Linked DNA regions of Neurospora crassa OR74A. The protein of the gene in region 2 interacts with the protein of the main gene of each other region in a pairwise test. Links are inferred from orthologs where the notes say so. Each region holds a gene or a part of one and is shown on either strand. Other genes may lie near its edges. The genes, in order: crn, act and NCU04637.

Region 1 (11,129 bases), on a different chromosome or scaffold from region 2:
GGCCGCTGCGGAAGCCATCAAGGCCGGTGCTGATCTTGTGGGCATGATCATGGTGCCAGGCACCAAGCGTTGCGTCGACCATGAGACCGCCCTTTCCATCTCCCAGGCTGTGCACATGAGCAAGAAGACCGGATCCACCGAGGTCTCCTCGCAAGCCTCCAAGTCCGCAAGGGACTTTTTCAATATCAACGCCGAGATCATCCGCAAGCGGGGACCTCTGCTGGTAGGTGTCTTCATGAACCAGCCCCTTGAGGAGGTGCTCGAGAAGCAGCATCTCTACGATCTCGATATCGTCCAGCTCCACGGTGACGAGCCGCTCGAGTGGGCCAACCTTATTCCAGTCCCCGTTGTCCGCAAGTTCAAGCCCGGCCAGGTCGGTCTTGCGACCCGTGGGTACCATGCCGTGCCCCTGCTGGATTCGGGCGCTGGATCCGGCACGTTGTTGGACTTGGAGTCTGTCAAGAAGGAGTTGGAGAAGGATGAGCAGGTAACCGTCTTGCTTGCGGGCGGATTGGAGCCTAGCAATGTTGTCGAGACGGTAAAATCTTTGGGGCCTCTGAGTGAGAGGGTGATTGGTGTTGATGTTAGCAGTGGCGTTGAGGAGGGAGGCAAGCAGAGCTTGGAGAAGATCAGGGAGTTTGTTAAGGCTGCCAAGTCTGTCAGGTAAAAAGCTTACGGTGCGGTTAAGGCCCAAAAATCAAGTCTCTTTCTTTCGGTATCTCTATATGGGTTCTCAAAAGGTGGAATTGTGATTATGTTCATGGTTCTGACGACTCAGAATGCGAATGTGACAGAACAGAACTGATATGGATTGCTGGAGAAGACTGGGGGGGATACTGACTGACCCCTTATTCTTTGTCATGATTCATACCGGGACATCCTCAGTGTTCAAATGACAGACACTATGGACTTCCACACCCTGACACCACCCGCACCACAATGCTTTGATCTGCTGATTTGTCGACAAAGCAGCAACGAGACAGCAACTCCTGGACTCTTCATCTTGAAAATGGAAGAATCTCAACATATATACCAACCCTTCCACGAAGCAAACTTTTAACTTTAAGGATCATCTCACCAGTTATCAGCCGATGTTTCTTTACAAGCCGATATTGCCCAACCATGTCCCAGCCACATAACACAACGCTCCCTTCCCGCCAAACCCACAACCCCCTTCCACATCCATCCGACAATAATCCACCCCTTCTCCCCCGTCTCCCTCCTTATCCCTACCCCATAGACCTAACAGTGTACACTCCCTCCGTCCCCTGCCTCCACTGCTCCCTCGTCTCCTCCTCTCCGCGGTGCTCCCTCCTCAACTTACTCAACCATGGCGAACAGCGTGACCAAAACCGACGCCCCAAGTTCACCCCGCCATGGTGGTACAGGTACAGATATAAACCGGACATTCCTCTCCCAGTTCCAGGATTACAGGTAAGGTGTTCGAGGTGTGTGAGGGATGGGATTGAGTGGTGCGTGTTGAGGGAGATGGATGGAGCACGGAACGTAGCACCGATGGGGGGTAGGATGTGGATGCCGATGGTAGGTTCGGGGAGGTTGAGGGAGGGGGAGGGGGAGGGGTCTTTAAATGAAGGCGGGAAGAAAGAGACTGGAGAGGTGAGTGTTACCAAGGAGTTGTCGGGTGTTGGTGGTAGAGGACATAGTGGTGGTGCTGCAGGTGGTGGGAATGATGAAAAGAGACCTTTAGAATCACTGGTGAGCAGGGCACGGCGGATTGCGAGACTTAGGAAGATTCGGGAGGGTTCTGTGAAGGACGAGAATGTGGATGGGTCTTTTGCTCCGGAAAAGGTTACACAAACTGTTGAGTCTGGCAAGTCGACGAGATTGTCCACGGCGAATCCAGCATTACAGCAACAAAGCTCGACCTCGCTCGATCTGCCCGGTCATGATGCCAACAACAACACCAACAACAACAACCAGAACACCGACAATGAAAGCAACACCGACCCTAATGCATCCGATTCCGACGCCAAGTCAAACGTCTCATCCAAGACTTCCCTCTCTAAGAGATCCATCAAGTCTACCAACTCTACCACCTCCTCTTCTCCCCCAGTCAAAGCACACCCAGAGTCACCTCCTGCACCACCACCCTCACCACCAGAACGCATATCATCAAACTATGTTCTGAACAAAAAGACATCATGGATCTGGAAGCCAAGGGCCCAGGAGGAGGTCATCCCGGGGAACCAAAAGTTGGAAAGAAAGAAGTGGGAATTGAACAGGGAAGAGTGGATAGATCACCCCCTTTTCGCGGCCGTAACAGCAATAAAGGTAACGAAGCGGGATCTTGCGGACTTGATTTACCCCGAAACAACAACACGACAAGGCAAGGAAATGGAGATGGAGATGACGGGAAAAAAGCTTGTGAAGAAGAAAACCAAAAAACAAACGCCAGGACTGAAAAGGTTTTTCAACTCTGAAGTTCCCTTCATTGCATATGTCAGGACCACAGGCCTAGAGGGAAGAGAAGAAGAAGAAGAAGAAGAAGACTTGCTGCAGATTGTGAGAAACCAGATACGGGACGTCATGAAAAGTTACGAGCAGACGGATAAACGCAAGAAAGAGGCGATAGCCGCGGCAGAGGGGTATTTACCACTTGAGAGCTGGCTCGGAGGAGGAGGGTTCTTGACGCAGGAGGATCTGCAAAGACAGTTTGCGTTGCCGAGTTGGCGGAAAAGGGAGTTGGAGTTTTTGAGTGAGGGTTTGGTGAAGATGCGGAGGAGAAAGGAGGAGAGAAGGATACAGGATGGAGAGATCAAGGAGTGGGTGATGGGGGGTAAGAAGAGGGCGAGGGATGCCGCGGGAGGTAGAAAGGAGGATGGAGAACAAGAAGAGGAGAAGAAGAAGAAAAAGGAAAACGAACCGAAAGATCAAGTACAAACCTCCCAGGAATCCGACACCTCCATCCCCAACCCTTTTGAACTTCCCCCTTGCACACCCACCGAATACTTCTCCCACCGCCGCCACCGCCTCCACACCTTTTGGACCAAAGAAGCCCAACCCGCTGATTTCCAGTACGCCAAAGCCATCAAGCGCACCACCCTCCGCAAGTGGCGGGGTGTTAAAAAGAAAAGAAGAAGAAGAAGCTACACCAGCAAAGTATACGGATCGAGATGGACAACCACAACCCCCTCCTCCTGGTCCTCTTCCTCCTCTTCCTCCTCGACCGAAGATGATGAGGAGGAACAGAACAAGGAGCGGAAGACTTTAACTGGGTGGTTCGCTGGCTATCAACAACGTAAGCGGGAGCGAATGCTGCGAATGGCTAGAGGTATGGATGGTAGTGGTGGTGGTAGTAGTGTTCGTACGGATACCGGTGAGTCACTAGTACCAGGAGGGACGGGGACGAGGAGGAAGAAGAATCAGACTCGTCAAGAATGGGCTGAGGATGATGACAATCAAGAATGGGAGGGGGGAAAGGGAGAGGACTCGGACGATGAGAGACGGATACTGGCTGATGATTTGGAGTTGGTGGTTGATGCCAGTGAGGATGAGGATATCTTGAGGTTTTTGGGTGATCGTTGTGACGACGACGACGACGACGACGACGACGACGACGACGACGACGACGACGACGACGACAACGACTATGTGGGGGGTGAGGGAGAGTGGATTGGAAGTGAAGGGGTAGATGGGGATTATGATAGTTACCCGCTTGTAGATCACGTTCGGGAGTCAATGATAAATGAGTATTAACTGGCCGGCCGTCTCGTTGGTCACGTAGGTAAGGGTTTGATGCCGTCAACTGGTTACTTACTTGTGTTTAACTTGCCTCACGTAAGAGTACAGATTTCCAATGTCCATACCGAAACCGTAATCGTTACCGGGCAGTGTATCCATATCCTAGATAACTTCACTACATCAACGAATCGGGAGAGCTCACACGAACAGTATACAGCACGAACAGGTTGAAAAACTAGTTACTATACTCCAAAGACACCAATTGAACGCTTTCCTTTGCTTGCCTTGGCTATGCTGTCCTTGTTCTCCTTCTTGATCTTCATCTGCTTCAAGTTGCTTGCTTGCTTTTTTCATTTCATGCCCCATTTGAAAGCTATATCGTCGTCATCCAATCATCCTGCATCCATCCCCTACGTGTCCAACTACTACTTACCCCAACAACGTCGACTTTCATTATAAACTCGGTAAGAGAGAGAAGTATGTTCAAGGACTGGTCTGACAGTATAACCCAGTGAGAGAGCGAGAGGGACGTATAAACTTTGGACCTGAACTCTCAAAACTCTGACTCTTACGACCTAGCAGCCTCGAGCTCCAGCTCCAACTGTCTGATTCTCTCGCTCTGATCCTGCGGGCCGGGTCCGACCCTCTTCTTGAGGGTCTCGACTTCGGTGGCAAGATGGCTGATGATCTGACTCTGGGCCTGGATCTTGTCGCTCTGTGCACCAATAATCCTGCTCTGCTGCTCAAGAAGCTGCGTGATCTGGGAAAGAGAGGCCTCGACGTTTCCCGAGGAAGGGGAAGCGGTAGAAGCAGGCGCAGGGGCGGCTGCGGTGGTCCTGACTGGCGAGGCAAGCTTCTGGACTGGGGTCTGGTACGTCGTCGGGGAAGGTGTCTTGCCGGCGGAAGCGGGAGGAAGGGATGTTCGCACAGAAACCGGGGCGGCGGCTCTAGCAGCGGGGCGCGAAACCTCCTCGAAGGGAGAGGACTCGCCCTCACTTGGCTCGGCGTCCTCGTTATCCTGGAACTTGTTTGCAATAGCGGACATGGAGGCCTTCTGGTCCGCCACGGTCGACGTGGGCACACGAGTAGCGGGTGGGGGCGTGGATTCCATCTTGGACACGGGGGGCTGGATAGGAGACGAGACGGCAGTGGGAGGCTTGTAATCGGCCGGAACTTCCCTGGGTGCGGTACCCTCGTAGATGCTCTCCATGTCGATCTTGGCCGGGATGCCGTCCTTGCCGTCAAACCACTCCTGGGCGGACACGGCGGGCTTGAGGCCGGTCGCAGGGGGGTAGATGTCGGACTGGAAGGTCTCGGCACGACGGGGAACAGTGAAGGAGATGGGCTCGATGTACTGATCATTGACGGTCTTGTAGGCCCTCATGATTTCGTTCTCGTGGACGTTGACACCACGGCGAGGCACAAAAGCAATACCTCTCTGGGGGTCACCAGACTTGTACTCGGCCAGGAACTCCAACTTGTCGTTCTCGTACTCGAAATAACGAATGTTGCCATCACTGCGGACGTTAGCATGCTATCTATCGTTCCTATCTCGGGTTGCGACAAACTTACCCCTTGCCAGCAAGGTACAGGCAGTTAGAGCCGTCATCTACGAAAAAAGACCACAGTTAGCTTCGGCGCATACAAAAGCCATGGTCCAGCAAGCGTGACTTACCCCAGAAAGGCATGCAGACACCAGAGATGGAGTCGAGCGAGGTGAAACCACCGATGGGGTCCTTCCTGCCAGGCTCCCACAGGGCAACCTGACGGTCACTCATCCGGGAGAAACCAGTGGTGGCGATACGGTTGTGTTCACCAAGCCATACAGCACGACTGTTCTTGGCGCCCTCGTGGCCCTGGTATTCGTGGACTGCGGACTGCTGGCGCACATCCCACACGCGCAGCTTCTTGTCGCGAGAGGTGGTGACAAGCATTGTGCCGTTGGCGCTCCACGACAAAGACTGCACAATGTCGGGGTGCTTGATGGCGATGGGGGCTTGGCCGGTCTCGACGTCCCAGAACTTGACCGTCAAGTCGCCGGACGACGAGGCGAGAATGTTTTCGGCGGCGGGGTTGAAGAGGACATGGCCGACCTTTCTGGTTTGTGTGAGCGCAAGCCTTACTGAATCTTATCTTCAGGGTGTAGATCGTACCTCGTGTGGCCAGAGAGCTTGCTGAGGGGTGAGACATCGGCCGGCTCTTCGGCGTCTGTATAGAGGGTGAAGTTCTCGGGCACCTGCCAGACAAACACCTTTCCATCGTCGGAGGCAGAGGCGATCAAGCGGTCGTTGAAGGGGTTCCTAAGAGGAGCCTAGGTCAGATTGTCTTGTCGGGTCGTTGTAGCGCATGCGCAAGAGCGTACCAGTCAGTGTCGAGGACGGCGGCGGTGTGGCCACGGAACAGCGGTATTTGGTCGGGAAGCTTGCCGCGCTCGTTGAGGGGGATGACGGCGAAGGCGCCACCACCGCTCGACTCCCAGTTGACGGCCAAGTACTCGGGGTTGGCCTAGGTGTAGGCGAGACAAAGACACGGTCAGTATATAACGACCATGGAAGCTATGGATAGGGCGCAAGTAGTGGAGAGGAGCGTAGGAGCACAGGAAGTATTTAAACAGGTAGGTACCTACCTTTATGAGGTTGGTGTCCCAGGCATTGTGGCTGATGCGAAGGTTGTCGTAGCAGAACTCCTTGCGCGTGGGCTTGCCGAAGACGTGTCCTAGCAGTCGCGGCTATCGTGTCAGTCCATGTCTCTCTCTCCAAGCTCGTCGCGACTCCCATCGTGGATACGGCGCGCTACCTCGGGAGCTACAGTATCCATCCAGCTGGTGTGCTAAGGAGCCTTCGGGGGAGGAACACGGGGGATCGACATACGATACTTCGACGCTCTGACGAAACGGCCGGACATCGGGAGGGATTAGGGCAGTAAGCTGCTAGCTGGTAGCTGGTAGGAATAAGGGAATAATAGTGTAGTAAGGAAATAAATCTTGGACTCGATTATGGATTACTGAGTGTTTAGACGGGAGCTGAGATAGGGGGGGGGGGGGGACTTTCAGTGTTTTGGTGGTTTGGGAATCGATACCGGCCGATGGGGTACAGTGGTACCTGCCAGTAGTAATAAACCAGGAGGTTAGTACCAGACACACCTCAGAGGCGGGTACTTGACCGATACTTGGCCCTGCCTGTGCCTGGTGCAGCAAGCGACTGTTGAGGTGGTTGACTGCCCTGCTAAACCGACTACACTAGGCCATCCTGGGCTGGCGCGGCTGAGTCCCGGGCAGGTCCCGTCGGCGTGGACCCGTCCCTGATCGGCTTGGCTTCGGCGCATGTTCCAGGGCAGCAAGTGAGCTCTTTAGCTGGTCCACTTCCCCACTGCCTGCCCCTCTCCCCGTGTTCCCAACGTTCGATTCGCACGCCATCGCCAATGCTGCTCTGGGACCTTTGTGAAGTCCTTCAGCCATCCGGTCGCATCTGATAATAAATGAGATCCAACTGTTGCGAAGTAAGAAAGGATTTTTACTTGATGTGTTGTGCGAGTGGTGGCAGCTAGTAAGGAGGTATTGCGTGTCTTTGCATGGCTCTCTGAAAGTCAAGGGTGAGGCATCATGTATTCGCTGGATACAAACAAACTCGAAAAGGGGGTTCAGGGGGGACACGCATTGAGTGTGGATCCATCATGTTGACACAAGACAATGTTACAACAAGAAAGCCTGAACAAGTGATGGTGCTTGCGCAAAGATACTCATGTGACAAAATACCCGAACTTTCGGGATTCAGAGAGATTTGTTTAGTTGGTCAATGTCATTAGATCAAAGTTCATAGAATCGATTGGCATGGATCGATATTATTCAACGTCTTGATGTTGACAGCCAAAATTGAAAATCGACTTTGCTGGAAACTTGTCACCATCCCATTCATAGAGCGCTATTTCTCGGCATCTGGAAGACGGGATCAAAGACAGAAAACCAAAAACGAAAAAATAACAGACTGAGTGATGGAAACGCATTTCCTTATGATGGCGCCGTTGTGAAGAAAAAGTCAAAAACTTAGTCGTACTGGGGATCGAACCCAGAACCTTCTCGGATCAGATTCAACTAATGTGAACGAGAAATCATAACCATTAGACCATACGACTCTGTTGAGTTCAAGTACCACCTTGAGGTCTTATGTAGACGAGAGCTTTCAGCCACCCCACCAAGCATGGGGCGGGACAAGATCCCGTAATGGTGTAGAACTAGTGTAATGTAAGCAAAGCCAACCCAACGGGAATACAGGATAGACGCACCTCTTCAATTGGAGTGTTACAAAAAGAAACCCGTCTGGAAAATTTCAACAGCCATTCTATCAAGTTCAAGCTAATTCGTTATATGTCAATGACCATCATGTTCTTCGAAAGGGGCAAGTAAACAATTGTTCTTTGTTCCGCAGCTCATGCAGATGCCAAGATGGCCCGAGCTTTTCGGATCTTCGGTGACGACACTGACTCGATCTCACCGAGTGCCACTGTGATTCCGCATCTGGACTGAGACAAACTTCACAACATCCAACATGGAGATTTGGCATTGTAGGTAGCGGCGTGTGCCGCCTCGTTATCCTTAACAACAAATACTGCCACCCATCAGATCCGAATCATACGGCAGCACATCAAAATGTCCACCCTAGCGACAACAGCAGCCGGCACCCTCCGAATGCGGATTCCCTACCGAGAGCTGCCTCCCCCGACCACCATCATACCTGCCACCGCCACGACCCTGCCCGGCGCCGTGGCTGCTCTCAAGTCATTCCTCACCGCCCCTCCGCCGTCCGGTTTACCCAATCGAACTGTCATCCTCACCGGTGCCGGCCTTTCCGTGGCCAGCGGCTTAGCCGACTACCGTGGCGTCAACGGCACCTACCGGGTCAATAAGGACTACAAGCCGATTTTCCACCACGAGTTTCTCGCCAGCCACGAGACGCGGCAGCGATACTGGGCACGAAGCTACATCGGATGGAGGGGTCTGGGACGGGCCGGCCCGAACCCGGGCCACTACGCGATCCGGGACCTTGGGAATCTGCTCACCGAGCGCTACAGCGGTGACCGAAACAACAAAAGCATTACGGGTGTAATCACACAGAATGTCGATTCCTTCCACAAAATGAGCCATCCCGATATACAAACCGTCGAATTGCACGGGACTCTAGCCTCGGTTGTTTGTACATCGTGCCGGAACCAATTTCCTCGAGATGAGTATCAAACCACACTGGCCAGGCTCAACCCGATCTGGGCCGATTTCCTTCGCGAGGCGCTGGCATCAGGAGCCCTGGAGACGGAGGACATTGAAGAACGGAACAAGAAGGGTATCAAGATGAACCCAGATGGTGATGTGGACCTGGCCGAGGCACCTTACACCACGTTTCGTTACCCAGCATGTCCGTCGTGTCTGAAGGAGCCGCCACGTCTTGCAGATGGCACCAAGACATGGGTAGAAATCGACAAAGATGGTGCATGGATACCGTCCAGTACTGCGGGAGTTCTGAAACCGGCAGTAATCATGTTTGGAGAGAGTATAAGCGCCGAGGTCAAGAGCGAGGCGGAAAAGGCCATTGACAATGCCGGACGAATGCTCATCTTAGGCACCTCTCTCGCGACCTACTCGGCTTGGCGGCTGGCACAGCGGGCGAAGCTCCGAGGAATGCCTATAGCCATTGTGAGCATCGGTGGTGTGAGGCGCGAAGAGATGTTCTTTGAAGATCTAGACCCTAAGATGGCCGGTCCTCATGGGGTTAGAGTGGAGATGGCTACTGAACAGCTGTTACCGGCGCTCGTGGAGGAGCTCAAGAGTTATAACAATGGGGCCATGGTGGCCGAGGTACCCGTGGGCAGGTTGTTTACTGGACGGGTCCGCTAGCGGACGCCCATCTATCAATAATAGAATAAAAAGGTCTTGTCGACTTAGAAGAAGGCACCCTTGAGGGCTGCAGGCGAGATCTTGGGCGTTGTCTCGGTCTGGGTCTCGGTCTGCGTCTGGGGTTGTTCCTTTACGGGCTCTGCCTTGGCTTGCTGGGCAAGTTTCGCCGCCTTTTGTTGCTTTGCCTTGTGCATGATCTCTTCGCGTTCGATCTCCTTGAGGACTGTTATTGAATCTTCATATCAGCCTGTGCTCTCCGTATCATATCCACCTGCGTTTAACGAACCTTCATCCCAAGCAGCCTCCTTCTCCGGATCGCCAGTGCCCAACACATTCTCAACATCCACCTCTTCACCCTTCTGTATCCTCTCGACCACCTCACGCAAGGTATTAATCCTGACATCGGCCTGGCGCGAAAAGGCCGCATAGTCTTTTTTGAGCGAGATCATCTGGATAGCCATGGAACCGATCATTAGAAAGATGATGATAAAGAAGGTGGCCGGGTTCCACTCGGTCGATTTCGGCATCTTTGTGTGGTTGATGGAGTCATCGCCGAATCGCAAGAACTTGGGAACCAACGACTTCCAAAATGACACTTTGGCGACTCTAGGGACGATTACATCCGGGGCGCCGCTCGCGAGGCGGATCGAGGTGGAAAACGAAGCTCGAAGAACTGTCGAGGGGACTTGACGATGGAGCAAGGCAGCATGCGCATTGCGCCCAAGGCGCTGAGGAAGAGAAGTTCGGCGCATGGTAGGTAGCAATTCGGAAATGTCGCGTTGTCTTGTGTTGGGATTCGGTGGCTGTTGAAGCCTAAGTAGGATTGCGACGGATCAGAGCAGTTGTCGAAATCAAGTGTTGCGGGAGAGAAACTGGGAGAGACCCTGAAAAGAGAAAGTGAGAAGACGACGGACTCGAAGCTTCGTTCTTCTTCCACTTCGGGCAAAAAGTTCACTCGAGTTCAGTTCAGTTCAGTTGCAGTGAGTGACACAGCGCCAAAATTCCCACAAGTGACATCCCACCTCACACGGCAGGCAAAGGTGGGGTCTTTCTGCCATTCCATCCCGCTGCCCCTGGCTGGCCGATGCGCCCCACGTAGTGAGGTACGTACCGTGTGCTTTCGTACCTGCGTTGCAGTTGCCCGGGCAACTTGAACTCGTTGAATCTTTGTTGCGACCAAGTCAACATCCCGCCAACAAGGGTTCGTTCTCCCCGTCTTCAGCAGCCGGATTCGTGACCGGGGGGAGCTCCATTGTTGGACACCAATTCGCAATCCACCTTGGCGTTTGCTTCCACATCTTATTTACATTCCAGCCATCCTCCATGCACTACCCTCTTTTGCCGTCTTTTGGATAGTGTCCCTAGTCCTCTACCTACGTTATAGGCGATGACATGATTAGGAATCAGCCCATTAGACCTTCTCTCTCTACATTACGACAGCTTCATGGATACCATACACTCCCAAGCTGACGCCGTGCGCAGCGCCGTCTCTTCGGTGACAACATGTACGCCCGCCATCACAGCTCTTCTCAAGAGCCTGCTT
Region 2 (3,995 bases):
AAGGCTGAGAAGCGCGGAGGAAACAATGCGGATGGCGGTAGACACTAGACAGTAAGAATACCTACCCATTGTGTCAGCGAAAAGCCATCTGTGGTTTCTGCCACTGGTTTGCAATCCTGGCCATGTTTGATCATAAGGAAACGGCTGCTTGTTACTCGGTTCCTGAAGCGGTGAGGATCGCTTAGTTGGATTCGGTAGGTATGGCCGCCTCCCCTTCAAGTCAATAAGACATTACGGTGGATCCGATACCTTGACGGCTAGCAATTCCCCTTTTCTCCTTGGCTTGCACGTATCTCACGACCAACGAAAGGGCAGCTGAAGGTGCTCAGAAATACAGAACGCTGTTTGAATTTTGATGATCTCTTCATCCACGATAACCTCGAATTTCCCAGTGGTGACTAAATCTTGCTGCTAAAAGTGTAGTAAATAGAGAAAGGGTGTTGGCAAGATCAAGAAGCCCGCATACTTGACCGCGCCTATCCCACGCATTCGCAGCCGTCGCCGCCCACCCAGAAAACAGAAAAAAAAGGCCATTATTTATGTCTTCTAGTAGAGAAAAGAGACGCCAGCCCCCTTCTGACCACGCTCGCTACTTTTTGTATAAGAGAGACCTGTGCAGAATACACGCGCAATGCAGACATGCTACTTGACGCAGATAGGGGTGTTATGTCCCCAGTTGGCGCTGGCTCGTGACAGTCGTGGATTTGTCCATTTATTGAACTACATACATGGTGTAAGCCGACGACGCTCCGCTTCCAACTGCAACAACCACCTCTCAAGGGCACCCACTTTAGAAGCACTTGCGGTGCACGATCGAGGGACCGCTCTCGTCGTACTCCTGCTTGGAGATCCACATCTGCTGGAAGGTCGAGAGCGAGGCGAGAATGGAACCACCGATCCAGACGGAGTACTTGCGCTCGGGAGGAGCAATGATCTTGACCTTCATGGAAGAAGGAGCAAGAGCAGTGATCTCCTTCTGCATACGGTCGGAGAGACCAGGGTACATGGTGGTACCACCAGACTAGTGACGATTCTGTTAGCGGACCTAGCCTATACTGCCATCTCCACAGCGAACGGGGACTTACCATGACAATGTTGCCATAGAGATCCTTCCTGACGTCGACATCGCACTTCATGATGGAGTTGAAAGTGGTGACGTGGATGCCGCCAGATTCGAGACCAAGGACGGAAGGCTGGAAGAGAGCCTCAGGGGCACGGAAACGCTCGTTGCCGATGGTGATGACCTGACCGTCGGGAAGCTCGTAGGACTTCTCGAGAGAAGAGCTCTGGGCAGCGGTCTGAATCTCCTGCTCGAAGTCGAGAGCGACGTAGCAGAGCTTCTCCTTGATGTCACGAACGATTTCGCGCTCGGCGGTGGTGGAGAAGGTGTAACCACGCTCAGCGAGAATCTTCATGAGGTAGTCGGTAAGATCACGGCCAGCCATGTCAACACGGGCAATGGCGTGGGGAAGGGCGAAACCCTCGTAGATGGGGACGACGTGAGTGACACCGTCACCGGAGTCGAGGACGATACCGGTGGTACGACCGGAGGCGTAGAGAGAAAGGACGGCCTGGATGGAGACGTAGAAGGCGGGGGCGTTGAAAGTCTCGAAAACGATCTGTGTCATCTTCTCACGGTTGGACTTGGGGTTGATGGGAGCCTCGGTAAGAAGGACGGGGTGCTCCTCGGGGGCGACACGGAGCTCGTTGTAGAAGGTGTGATGCCAAATCTTCTCCATGTCGTCCCAGTTGGTAACGACACCGTGCTCGATGGGGTACCTGAGAGTAAGGATACCACGCTTGGACTGAGCCTCATCACCGACATACGAGTCCTTCTGGCCCATACCGATCATGATACTGGCATGTTGTCAGTTTTTTCTGAAAGTCTTGGAGTGTTGCGCGCACGGGACGCGGGGGGGAAAGTGGCATGCATACCCATGATGACGGGGACGACCGACGATGGAAGCTATCGCGACATGTTAGCATGGCTGGGACGTTGGGTCTTGGCGGGGAGGCAAGTAGCTCTGCTGACACGTTGCCCGTCTCAAGCAAGAGCACCTCGCGGGAATAGTGGGAACACTTACGGAAAACAGCTCTGGGGGCGTCATCACCGGCGAAACCGGCCTTGCACATACCCGAACTGGGCGGTTGTTAGCTACTGTCCATCGTCATTGTTCACCATGTAGAACGGGCTATGGGGGGGCCGCGAGGCGTCGATTGCGGGAGGAATATGACGCTTCTCCTAGGAGTCGGTGAGGCGCAGGCGAAAAGGAGGGGAAAGCTTACCCATTGTCGATGACGAGGGCGGCAACTTCTTCTGTTGGCGGGAACGCATGAATCAGCTTGTGCCCATGATAACCAGTAGAGGGAGATGGCGATGGTAGAAGTCCGATCCGCCGGCGACCAGCTCGCCAGCGCGGGCAGACTGGGCAGGAATGTGGACATGTTGTTACGTACCCTCCATTGTGATAGATTAGGTGGTGACGAAAAGTGTCGGATTAAGCAAAAGGTACAGAAGAAGAGTTATTAAATACGCTCGACGATTCCCGGATCGATGGAGCGATGATGCTTTGGCTGAGAGAGGTGTTGCCGAAGGACGTAGAGACGTTGTTTGGGCAAAAATTTGGATGTTGTTCGGTAGGCGGAAGAGTTGGAAAAGGGGAGGTGAATTTAAGGTCAGCTTTGGGAGTACGAGGCGGCGGGTGGATTGAGGGGGGTAAAGGTAGGGGAGGTAAGGGGATGGGATTGCTGTGGTGCCAGGTGCGAGGGAACGGATGGCGGACTGGGGGGGGGAGGGGAGGGGACGGTTGATTCCATTGGGGACGGGACTGGGCCGGGACTGTCTGCACTGGGCATTGCTGGCTGCTAGGTCCAGTTGGTTGGACTGGGCCTGGTCACCTCACGGCGTGGTTGTGGGACTTGGCGGCGGAGGAGGAGGAGGAGGAGGAAGGAAAGGCGGGCAAGGACGACACCGATGTCACTGAGTGGTACTGACAGTGAGTGCCCGGCCGACTTCCAGGTCCCAACAAGCATTCATTTCATCCTCGCCGGGCTGCTGCGCTGCCTGCACTCCATGTTGCCCGGTTCACGACGGGATGGATCACCACAGTAGACTACAAGTACAAACCTAGAGGTAACTGCGCTGCCTTCTTCCCAGGCCGTCCCCTCTCCCTCGCTGTTCGCTTTCCACACCCCTACTCTAAATCATCAAATCACTGGCCGCACCGCCCCCTTGCCCTCTGGCATCTTCGTGGACAAGTTGTCAAGTCGCAGTATCATGCCTGATTCGAGGTGGCTCAAGGTGGATTCCTGAGTGGCCTGCGATCCGTCTGGAAAGTGGGTAGGAGACACCGCCTAATTTTGGGAGGGCAAAGGGGATCTTCCTGCCGCCAACACACTTTGGGAGGCTTCCGCACCTCGGAGGCGACGTCTAGGTTGACATCAATGCCCGTCTGGCAACTGGCAGCCCGTTCAAGATCCCCTTTGATTTCAGTCTACCTAACTACATTGGATACCTACACGACCTGACTTGTATACTATGTAAAAGGATATCATATCGCAGCACGGCCGGGGTCGTCACCGCTGCGTGCCGTTCGACGGGTGCAGCTAGACAGACGGTTCAGTTGTACGTAGCGTAGGTAGTACCTAGTGAGCACGGTGGGAGCGTGGTGCGTGGCTGGGTCCGCCCCCGACGTTGTGTCAGCGTTCAGTCTTCTTCAACCTAATGTCCCTCCCCTGCGTCGTTGCCGTCGTACCTGGTCGCTGTCCCTTGTCGTACCCCGTTCATTACTTGTTTATTACTCCTCCTGGAGAACCGCGATTGCAATTCCAGAAGATCCAATGTCTTCTTTACCGTCTCTTCTGTTGGAGCCTGGCTGATCACGATCTCTTGGAGCTTGTCCGGATCGCAATTCCCATGGCCCCGGGGCCCGAGTGTCTTGAAGGCTCCATGGCCGCCCCGGTCCGGGATCCGACGGAGATAGATATGTAGCCTA
Region 3 (11,011 bases), about 3.7 Mb from region 2:
CTTGCACTTGATGTGGTACCCGGGCTCATTGGCCTTGCGCCATTCCAAATACTCCTCGTACTGTTGTTGTTTGATCGGATCCGGGACCCGAGGCTTCGTTGTCACGGGAAAATAAGGGCGGTCAACCTTGGATTCCGGCTGAGCTTGTTGACCTGCGCCTTTCAGTGGAATCGACGGTTGTACTGGCGGCATTGCTGGCACTGCAGCCTGGGGGTACATCGATCCTAAGCCGCTGATAGGAGCCGACGCAAAGGGTGGAATGGGCGGCCGCATTGAAGGTAGGAAAGTTCCAGTCCCCAAAGTCGCTGCCATATCCGGAGATTGCATGTTGAACTGCGGAACTGCCATCGATGGGGCGGTAAGTGGTGGAAATGTCCCAAAGTTGCCCAACCCTGGTCCTCCAATCCATGAAGCAGGGGGAAATGGGAGAGCTGCATTGGGTTTCTGTGGCGGTAAGCTCAAGCTGGGATGAGTAAGAGCCATGGGATTGACATCGGACAGAGCGGGATTATAAAGATGTTGAACAGGAGGAAGGCAAGCTTGCTGGGTGGGTGGAACCTGAGGTGCTTTTCGTTGTTTGGCCTTCAAACCAGAATTGACGGGACTTGGCTGTTGAATCTGCAACATATCAACTGCAGTGCCTATGTCCTGCCTCGTCTGAGCAGTTTGTAGCCTATCCAACGAAGGGAGAGCCCCGGCCACAGCCACATCAGGAGTTGGGTTGAAAAGAAGCGATGTAAGCGGGCCACGAGATAGCTTTTTGGGAGAGAGCACGGGCAGATGTACACTGTCAGTCGAGATTTTGAACTCGGCTGCTGCAGGATTCAATTTCTTGGTTGCGATTTGGGCCTCCAAACTTCTTCTTGTGGCCGCGGCCGGCTCGTCTTGGAAATCCCTAGAGTTGTCCGACGTTGAGTAATGTACGATGCACGATGGGTTGCTACCGCTGGCGTACCCAGAGTCGCTGAATCTGCCCTTTCTTTCAGGGCGCGGCTCGGTGACTTGGTTCAGTTGGGTATTTTCGAACACTGCACCATCCTTCAGTTTGGCACACAGAATGGCGGGATCAGCAGGTTGTAGCTTGCTGCTTGGTACCCTGGGCTTTACCAAGGATGGAGTTGGCAGGCGCTTCTGGAGACGGTTGATCATGTTGCGAAAGCGTTTCTCCTCGTCATCTTGAGGCTTTGTTTCCGAACGTTCAGACGCGCCTGTACTGTCTTTGGAATCCTGGGGCCTATTGCTAGACAGGGGCGCATCAAATGGGCAACTTTCGGGCTTCCTAGAAGGGGCATTTGATGTGGGGAGTTCCCGAATGGTGTTTAGTAAGGCCTGGATATCGTCCGGGAGCTCGCGGTCGATAGTCACCCAGTCAGAGGAGATTTTGCCGCTGAGGATTCTGGGATCTAGGACGCGTCTGAGTTCTCCAAAAGTAGGGGAGCTGGATGAGTCATCGGAGTGGTCGCTTTTGAAGCACTTGGGGCGGATGTCGAAAGTGAATCGGTTAGGTAATGGTATGTTTTCGCCGTTGACGTTCATGAGCATTGGCTTCATGTCTTCAATATGAACCACTATTGGTTTCTGAGCCGAGTCAATTGAATGTTCAGAAGTACCTGCAGAGTGCGCCGCTGATTGGTTTGAGACTGAGCGGTCTCCTGGTGCTGATGAAACCACTTCCTAAGCAGTTTCGCCGTCATTCGGGCGGTAGAATCCAGGTTCGCGAGGCATTTCCATGGAGTGCTCTGTAGCGCTCGACCGTTGAGCAATCTTTTTCCGGAGGTTCCCCTTGTTTGACATTCCAGGGGCAGACGCATACTTGCGCCAGTCATCGGATGCAAGTGCTTTTCCTTTTCCATCAAAACCGACTGAATCCCCCACAGTAGTCTTGACTTTCAACGCAGGAACTCTAGAGCGGCTAAAGTTCCTGCGACTGGTGATGTGACTGGTTACGGCAGCCATATTGTCTGAAATCCCACGGATGTCGCTCGATGTGGGTGCCTTCGGTCCTTCAAGGGCGTAAAGGGTCCTTCCTGGTCTGAGACGTGTTAGTCAACTGCATACTCATGAAGTGTCCACGCAACGATAATCGAGCTCCGAGTCATCACGTTAATACTTTGTGAAAGGAACTAAAAAAACAACTCACGGCAAGTCCAGGAGAGCAGCAGTATCGCGTTGGTGTCGTGAACTGGAAGAACAAATCCGGTGTTGGTCTTCAAGCCGAATCTGTGTATTCGTTGATTTTTGGTAGCGGACTCGGATGTTTTGAATGGGCCTGTCTGTTCCGCGGGGACGATTGAGAGAAGAGTCGGCAACAAAATAAGGCCAGGCAAGTCCAACGCAAATTGATGGGACTGATTCAGACAGGCTGTCGAGAGTGGTCTTGCGGAAGGGGATTGGTAGCCGGGGGTGTTTTCTTTCTTTTAGTGCAAGATTTCCTTCGTTCCAAATAAAAACGCTTGAAGTGTATCAACACGAAGAAAGAGGCCAGGGGAGAAGAGATGACATAATACTGCGAACCGCAAGACAAATAGAGAGACGATACCCAAAAAATGGCGGCCAAAAGATTGCCTGGAGTCTGCGAGTTACGCTGCGCTTGGTGGTAGTGGTGGTGTTTGTGAGAAGAGGAAGAAGAGTTTGTGTGCAAGTGAGAAGAGGGGAATTAAAAGCCCATAGATCTGGGTTTGCCCGACATACTGGAGATTGTGACTCCCTGTCTTGCTTCACAGCCACGGAGGGACTCATGGAGAATTGGAGGGAGGAGCATACAGCTGGGTTGCTTGGCGCATTATTGGAAGCTTCTGTTAGCCTTAGTCTTGTACAACAAGGCAGGTGCATGTCTCTCACTTGAAGCTAAACCAGAGGACCTCGCTATCCAGGGCACCGAAGCATTGCATCTTAGCTGGAGGCCATCGTTCAACATCGGTATTTCCAATAAGGACCCTCCAGTACACTTGCCATGGCTTTCAGTGATACCTACCTGTAGATGAGTAGCAGATATGATACACATCTTTCTTTCCTCCCAAAAAAAAACCTGAATCCTTGGAGTCGAGCCAGGAGGTGAAGCCGAGCCAGGTAGTTTTGACAAGGCAAGCGGTTGTTGGTGACACTAGATTCAAGCTGAGCTGCGTGGTCGTTGCGTTAACAAAATTAGAAATTAGCTTCACCTGAGGAAGCTTGACGCGCGGGCAAGTACCTAACCTAAAGGGAACAAACCACGACGGCGATCATGGCAAAACGCATCTAATCAAAACTTCCAGGTTTGACCCAATGCACTGTGACCTTTTCACTCCGTTGCTTCCTTCGCTCCAAAACAATACACCCGCCATTTCCCTAGACGCAAACACCCGGGACCCTCTCGCTCCACGCTCCTCGCAGGTCCTCCTTCGCGACGGAGTTTCCTCCTGCCTGACTATTCTCAACAGAGTCACCTGCCGCATATCATTGCATCCGTATAGGATCACCAAGGCCCTGCTACAGAACGTCACGGCCTGGTACGATGTAGACGAACTAGAAAGAATCCGTGTTGTGGTTGCAAATGAATAACTCGACCATGAACGGGTCCACAAAAAAGGGGTATAGGTTGAAGTCGTGCTGAGAAGTGAAGTGTGCTGAAAGCAACTCTTTGATAACTACATTTACAAGTAGCCTTGTATCCTCTAGCTGTTTAACTGGACATAGTTTCCTAGCAAAAGACCATTGTGTCAGAACATATCCAGCTCGCAACAAAGCAAGCACCCTAAGAAATAGTACAGTACGTACCTGGGAATTGACCCTGCTTTCCATGCAACTTTCCAATCCACCACTCATTCTCGTTCGCAGTCCTTGTTACTATCTCAATCACATCACCGGCACGGAAGCTCAGATCGCCCTCCGCCTGCGCCGAGTAGTCGTAAAGCGCTGTGACGGTCTCTACTTTGGGTGCCGCCGCCATGAGGGCCTTGGGCTTGGGCTTCGGCGGTGGGGGCTTGGCCTTTGCAGCCGCCGCCATGGACAACGACGAGGGTTTCGGGCTGGCAACTGGAGCGGCGTAGGAGGCGGGCGTAGCATGTAGCGTGCTCGGCTTCACCGAATACGGTGGCGGCGCATGCGCTTCTACTGTTTCCGCCTGGGTTTCCCAAGGTCGCGGTGCTGTGACGGCAGGAGCTTGTTGTTGCTGTTCCCAGGGGCGTGGGGCTGTGACTGAGGGAGCCGCCTCAGGCGGACCGGTGGAAGTGGTCGTGGAGGAGCCAGCTGTAAGTAGGCCTGCTGGCTTGTTTCCTTCGAGAGCGCCTGGACGTTGGTACTTGGGCGGTCGCTTCATACCCGTGGTCTTGAACTTGACAATGGAGAGAGCCTCAGCCCGCTCCTGGACGTCACCTCGCTTCGCGTAAAAGGCCTCCTCAATGTCCAGGGTCAGGTCGAAGTAGCCAATGTCGCAGTGCTGCATCTTCTCGTGCAAGGTGTAGAAGATGTTGAGCTGCATGTAGTAGAAGGACTGGAAAAGCGGCTGAATGAACTGGCGTTCGAGGGCAAACAGCTTGGGTAGCTCGTCCTTAAGCAGATCGTTGAAGTAATTGTACTCTTGCGTGGCCTGCTCAACTTCGTTCTCAGCCTTCCACATGGCCTTCTCGTCCTTTGCCGACCGGTCTTTCTTGTCCTGGAGCTTCTTGAGGGTGGCGCGGTGTCTGTCGTAGTCCAGCTTCTTGTGCTCGCGCTTCACGGCCGTTTTGCGAATGACCTTGATCACATCGAGGAGCTCGTTCGCTGGCCGAATAACCCTAGCCTCAATCATTTCCAACTCTGGCGCCAGTGTTTCCTGCAGGTCCTTGACAACGGCCTCGTACTCCTCGCAGGCGGCAATACCCTCATAGTTGCCATGGGGAACGAGCGAATCGGGATCGGACATGCGGCCGCTGATGGGCTTGTAGATTTCGGTCATTGCCTTTGAGAACTCGATTTGGTGTTGCAGCATGCCATTGATGGCCTCAAAGTACTTTTTGCTTTCATCGTGAAGGCGTTTGGTCTCGGTTTCGAGCTCCTGGAATCTGCGCTCCGAGTCGATGTAGACAGGGTCTTTGGTATGCTCGCCGAGGTTAAACTTTTGCTTGAATTGTTGTGGTGCCTGGTTTCTGTCGTGTTAGTGCCTGTTTGCCAACCCGAGTGATTCGGCGCTATTTCTGCCACAGACGGGGGACTCGACGGGAAGGGCGGAAGTGATGATGACGCTGTAACCGAAACTAGGGGAGGTGAGATCAACTAGGTATGCGGGGCAGAACCTACGCGGACCACGCTTTTTTGGAAGCCCCTGAAGCTCATATTCTGCTACGAAGCCGTATGATGTCTGATGTGTATTCGGTGTTTGTATGGAGATGCGCAAAGCGGGTTGCTGTTCGGAGAGGTTGAAGGCAATCGGTGGTCGAGTGCCCTCTTCAAGTCGGATCCGGATACGATGGTGATGACGCTGGGGGTGGGCAGGGGGGCGGTGCAGGTCGTTTGGCTGGTGGACGAAGTCTTGGCTGAGCGAAGCTTGCGACGGTTTGCGTGGCGCTGCTATTTGCTGAATGTTGGACACGCCGCACACAGCGACCTCGTTCCAAGATGTAGTGTGAAAAGTCTTTTTGTCTAGGCGTCTTGTGATTTCGGTTTGTTCTTGAATCCCGTCGGTCGGACCCTTGTCAGCAGTTCCGTTCGAGGTCCGACAAACTTCCTCGGGGAGGATTCGGTCTTCAACGGTAGGAGGTAAAGTAGCTAGAGGTAGCTGTCCTAGAGGTAAGATGCTACTAAATAGTTTAGCAGTGTAAATGGAATTCAAGTAGGTTGTCGGCGGTTATATGGCATGTCACTGATGGTTCAAGTTATAGTCCAACGCAGACATCCAATGCGAATGGAAACAGAATACTACCGAGGAGGTAAATAGGTACCGTCATCGGTTGTTCTGCTTTTGGTCGATGAGACCCCGGAAAGGAACGAATTGGAACGACGGGGTAGACCGACTGGGTCTGGGGCCCGCTGTAGTGTAGCTTTCATCCCAGTGGACATGCCGATTGAGAGAACAGATGGATGCCTGCCCCGGGTCAGTGCTCTTCCTTTCTGTGCAATGATGGATCAGATGCGTCCGCGGAGTCCGTTTCACAAGTGGACATTCCGCACTGTATTTGTCAAGTCAGTCGCCGCGGTGCACATCGAGCGTTCAGTTTCCGTCATGCCCGGCGGCCCATTCTCTAACATTTTGGAGCAGCGTCATTTTCGCCGTACGTACATACGCGCTTGTCCGATGTCCGAGAAAGAAACAGGTGGGGCCATCCGATGGCAGAATGACCAATCAAAGTGCCAAACCTTGTTGGTTGTCGCCCCTCATTGGCACATTCCTTTATCACCGACCCCTCCGAGGCCAAGTCCGCGTGCGGATGCCGTTTGTTTCGATTTGTTCTTTTCTGTATGGCGGAAATTCCACTCCGACCGCCGAAGAGCGGGAGGCGGCAGCTCCATCTGAATTTCTGAGTGTGTTTTGAGCCGCCCCGCCCGCTGCCTCCATCCGTTTTTGTAGGTTTGGTTACAAAACGAACTTTTTCTCCCTCATCCGCCATCACCCTCACCACCATATTCTCTTTTCCTCTCCTTCTTTCTTCTTCCTTTTACCATGTCCACCATTGCGCCGTCCGTCTTGCGACAGGCATCGCGCTTGGCCGCGGCCGCTCCTCTCCGCAGCGCGCGTGTGCTGTCGCGGGCGACTACTGCGGCTGCTGTCAAGACTGCTTCTGCTTCCAGGAGCTATGTGACCGAGACCAAGAGGAACAACGCCGACGTGCAGGCCGAGCATGCTATCAAGCTGGATCACAGGGAGATGGAGAAGCAGGGCCTCACTATAAGCGCGCAAAATGGCTCGAGCCAACACGTCAGCCCCATGGCTGGTAAGCATCATCATCACCTCCCACCTCTTCGGAGACATATTGCGCAGTCGTCCTCGTTGCTGACTCAACTAGATGTTCTCAGCAATGCTACCGTGATGGATGAGGGACAGCGTCCCATCTACCTGGATATGCAGGCCACAACCCCCATCGACCCCAGAGTGCTCGATGCCATGATGCCCTACTTCACCAACGTCTATGGCAACCCCCACTCGAGGACACATGCCTACGGCTGGGAGACTGACAAGGCCGTTGAAGAGGCGAGGAAACACATTGCTGATCTGATTGGCGCTGACCCCAAGGAAATCATCTTCACCAGCGGTGCCACCGAAAGCAACAACATGAGTATCAAGGGCGTCGCTAGGTTCTTTGGCCGGTCCGGCAAGAAGAAGCACATCATCACCAGCCAGACAGAACACAAGTGTGTCCTCGACAGCTGCAGGCATCTCCAGGACGAGGGTTTCGAAGTGACCTATCTCCCAGTGAAGAGCAGCGGCCTGATCGACATGGCGGAGCTGGAGGCTGCCATCCGTCCCGACACCGCCATCGTCAGTATCATGGCTGTCAACAACGAAATTGGTGTCATCCAACCCCTCGAGGAAATCGGCAAGCTTTGCCGGTCCAAGAAGATCTTCTTCCACACCGACGCTGCCCAGGCTGTTGGCAAGATCCCCGTTGACGTTAACGCCATGAACATTGACTTGATGTCCATCTCCTCCCACAAGATTTACGGCCCCAAGGGCATTGGTGCATGCTACGTCCGTCGTCGGCCAAGAGTCAGACTGGACCCCATTATCAGCGGTGGTGGTCAGGAGAGAGGTCTTCGCAGCGGCACGCTCGCTCCTCCGCTCGTTGTCGGCTTCGGAGAGGCGTGCCGCATCGCCAAGGAAGAAATGCCGGTATGTTACAGTCTCTTTTGTCTTCCTTTGCCCCTTTTATGATGAGTCGCTTTACACATGCATGGCTTTCTGAAGTCCCGTGACAAGGACTCCTTGTTGATAGACAGCAACTTCTCTGATCATGATTCTTCCATATCCCACATTTAATGCATCTCTCGTTCAAGGATGGGCGCTAACTGTTACAACAGTACGACTCCAAGCGCATCAAGCACCTTTCCGACCGTCTTCTCAACGGTCTGCTCTCCATGGAGCACACCAGCCAGAACGGTGATCCCAACCACTTCTACCCCGGCTGCGTGAACGTTTCTTTCGCCTATGTCGAGGGTGAGTCCCTCTTGATGGCCTTGAAGGATATTGCACTTTCTTCTGGCAGTGCTTGCACTTCGGCTTCTCTGGAGCCTAGTTATGTTCTCCGTGCTTTGGGTAACAGTGATGAGAGCGCCCACTCCAGTATCCGTTTCGGTATCGGCCGGTTCACTACCGAGCAGGAGATCGACTACGTGCTCAAGGCCGTAACGGAGCGTGTGGGCTTCCTCCGTGAGCTTTCTCCTCTGTGGGAGCTCGTCCAGGAGGGTATCGACCTGAACACGATCCAGTGGAGTCAGCACTGAGAGGTGACATGATGTGGTTGATGTGCGGTATTTTAACACGGTTTATAAACTGGGCGGAGTTTCTATTGCATTTTTATTTCTCCCGCTGCGCTGCCTTTTCACAAACACTACAGGCCGCTCGGGTTGTTTATACGGCCAACTTTACGAATTGCCGAGGCTCCCGCAAGGACGGAAGCAAGGGGCAAAACATGACCCATTGTATACTATCATGTATGTAAGCGATATTTGCGGATGACCTTTGTTTTGATGAGCAAGAGAATGATACCATAGGGCTGGGAGGCGGCGCTCGGAGGTGTCAGAAGAACAATTCATCATTCATATAATGGATACACATAATTCCCCAGCACTGTGGCTGATAAACGTCTTTTTTTCCATTTGACTTTGGCTGTGTGTAGATCGTGTCCATTTTGTGACTGTTCTGAACCCCCCAACCCGATGGTTCTGCTGAAGAACTCTACAAAGGGCGTGCGTATACAATGTGGCCAGTTACCGAGGTCGAAGGCCAGACAATGAGTGAGTGTGTACATAGTAGTGTACGTTCTCAGAACTAAGGGTCAAGGGTTCCACCTGAAAACCGCCTTGGTGTTGAGGGGCTTAGCTCGGCTCGTTGGTGGCTGCGACGACTTATGATGTCACAGTTTCGTTTGAGATGGTGGGATGAACTGACGAACGAACCCCTATTGGCAGCCTCTCGCCTATGACATCATAGTCTCTGGTGTGCTTTGTGAGACTACAAACGACATCTTCACAGGCACACACTATGGTAAGGCCATCCAATGGACATTGCTGCCACATGCAATGACTAGTAAGTTGCTGGAAGCTACGAACTGGAACAAACAAGAAAGACCATGACTGGACCAATTAGAGCAAAAAGCGGGTTAGACATTTCGGAAGTGATGAACTGACACAAGGCTCACATGGCCATTTTCAGGCCTCTCCAGTCCGTCATTGCCTCCAACCCCAGGCCAAGATTTCGGTAGGACCCTGAATTTTCATGGACGGGAAGGTCTGTTCTGGTCATCCGATCTTGCTTTTGTTTGTCTTCATGCGGGTTGTGTTGGACCTTGTGCAAGTCGAGCTTGGGATATATAAAGAAAAGATATCCTGCCCCTTAAGACAATTTTCTGATCATCATTCCCACGATACAATCCATCACTCAATAAACCACAACTACTCTCCAACAACAACTTCGAACCGATCCATCACCACATCAACCTAAACATACCACAACCACCCAACATGTCTACCGAGAACAACTCCACCCTCAAGTCCTACATCGACTCCGCCACCGGCGCTGTCCAGAGCGCCGTTGGTAATATCGTTGGCAACCGCGGCGATCAGGTACGGTTGCAGTCCTTTGGTTCACACTCACCTCGTTCCCATAACTAACACCCAGGACTACAGGCCGAAGGTGAGCTCAAGCAGGAGAAGGCTCACGCCGAGCACGCCGCCTCGCACGATACCGCTAAGGTCCCCGGCTTCACGGCCACCTCTGACGGTGCCGTCGCCGCCGATCACCCCGACCGCACGTCCGGTTCTTGGAAACAGACCGCCGGCGCGGCCAAGGAGTTTATCGGTGGAGCTGTCGGCTCTGAGGTATGTCTATTTGCTACCTCCATTTTTTCACTCTTTCGTCTTCGACAAACAGCTCGCTAACCTACCAATTGCTACAGGACCTCAAGCAAGCCGGCCGCCAACAAAACCGCGAAGGCCAAGAGCAGGAAGCCCGCGGCCAGGTCAAGGACCTCGGCGAGGGCGCCAAGGATCGTTTTACCGGCCAGCTCGGAAATGCTGCTGCCGCGCTCGTCGGCGACCGCGAGAAGCAGGCCGAATATCAGTCTCAGCATGATGTTGGCAAGGCCCAGCAGCGTGGTGCGGAACATGATATCCAGAAGGAGGCTGAGGCGCAGAAGAACGCTGATCTCTAAATGATCGAGGAAAGACTCCGTCTTGAAAGGAAGGAAGACGAGGTTGAGGATGGATTAAAGATTATACCCCCCATTTCACCTATTGACGAATTCATGACCACGCAACGACTTTAGTTTCGGATAATAAACTGTTATTCTGAACAATATTTTTGAGCATGATTGACGCAAGCGAAGATATCGTGATGTTGACTGATATGTCGATGTCGAAACTTTAGTTATGGTTTGGCGAATATGGAATGGCACTTGGACTCACCATTCCAGAGACAGGGTGTTCGTCTCGATGACTTGGATCAAAACGATTCGAGCAGGCCTCAATTTATGGTTTTGACATGTGCGGGCTGCCGTGTACAGTGTTGCGGAAACAGGCCCATGTTGAAGCTCACTGCAGGATCGAGACTTAAATTGCTTGCGTGAGTACTTCCCCTCAGGCTATCCGGCATACTTCCAAGATTCAGTTTTTATAGGGGTAAAGCCCAAAAGTTTGAGGTCGTCATCCGCCCCAAACAGGAAGTTTGAGGAAGAGAACTGAAGTCGAAACCTTGAGGCAGAAGAGGGCCGGGATGATGAGACGAGATGATAGATAAGCTGATGGAGACGTCAACGGGATGAGCGGGCAGTTGCAGGGGGCGGCACTGCAACAAGGCAACAGCAAGCCTCCTCCCCGTCAACGGCAGGCAAGTGGGGTAGAT

Evidence for each region.
Region 1: the proteins of act (region 2) and crn interact in binary tests that used the Saccharomyces cerevisiae proteins (3 or more experiments, as listed by UniProt). The link is inferred for Neurospora crassa OR74A from reciprocal best matches to the Saccharomyces cerevisiae genes ACT1 and CRN1.
Region 3: the proteins of act (region 2) and NCU04637 interact in binary tests that used the Saccharomyces cerevisiae proteins (3 or more experiments, as listed by UniProt). The link is inferred for Neurospora crassa OR74A from reciprocal best matches to the Saccharomyces cerevisiae genes ACT1 and RVS167.

The regions. Positions count from the first base shown.
Region 1 is NC_026503.1:2,986,128-2,997,256, forward strand, and holds crn (coronin-6), read right to left. Parts: upstream 6,801-11,129; 5' UTR 6,607-6,800; coding exon 6,573-6,606; intron 6,418-6,572; coding exon 6,329-6,417; intron 6,208-6,328; coding exon 6,065-6,207; intron 6,003-6,064; coding exon 5,856-6,002; intron 5,800-5,855; coding exon 5,378-5,799; intron 5,312-5,377; coding exon 5,275-5,311; intron 5,220-5,274; coding exon 4,271-5,219; 3' UTR 3,821-4,270; downstream 1-3,820. Other genes in the region: trp-1 (anthranilate synthase component II), read left to right, coding at 1-667; NCU00201 (hypothetical protein), read left to right, coding at 1,331-1,434, 1,701-3,717; nst-5 (SIR2 family histone deacetylase), read left to right, coding at 8,348-9,586; NCU00204 (hypothetical protein), read right to left, coding at 9,631-9,809, 9,873-10,338; NCU00205 (hypothetical protein), read left to right, coding at 11,031-11,129.
Region 2 is NC_026505.1:5,085,575-5,089,569, reverse strand, and holds act (actin, variant), read right to left. Parts: upstream 2,801-3,995; 5' UTR 2,465-2,800; coding exon 2,458-2,464; intron 2,318-2,457; coding exon 2,287-2,317; intron 2,141-2,286; coding exon 2,085-2,140; intron 1,967-2,084; coding exon 1,936-1,966; intron 1,858-1,935; coding exon 1,086-1,857; intron 1,022-1,085; coding exon 791-1,021; 3' UTR 790-790; exon of another isoform or gene 721-789; 3' UTR 323-720; downstream 1-322. Other genes in the region: NCU04174 (hypothetical protein), read left to right, coding at 1-48. UniProt on the Saccharomyces cerevisiae protein: Actins are highly conserved proteins that are involved in various types of cell motility and are ubiquitously expressed in all eukaryotic cells.
Region 3 is NC_026505.1:1,372,332-1,383,342, forward strand, and holds NCU04637 (BAR adaptor protein RVS167), read right to left. Parts: upstream 6,009-11,011; 5' UTR 5,293-6,008; coding exon 5,257-5,292; intron 5,099-5,256; coding exon 3,757-5,098; intron 3,680-3,756; coding exon 3,654-3,679; 3' UTR 2,909-3,653; downstream 1-2,908. Other genes in the region: NCU04638 (hypothetical protein), read right to left, coding at 1-1,551; NCU04636 (cysteine desulfurase), read left to right, coding at 6,617-6,887, 6,960-7,783, 7,972-8,394; NCU04635 (hypothetical protein), read left to right, coding at 9,634-9,735, 9,799-9,990, 10,068-10,322. UniProt on the Saccharomyces cerevisiae protein: Component of a cytoskeletal structure that is required for the formation of endocytic vesicles at the plasma membrane level.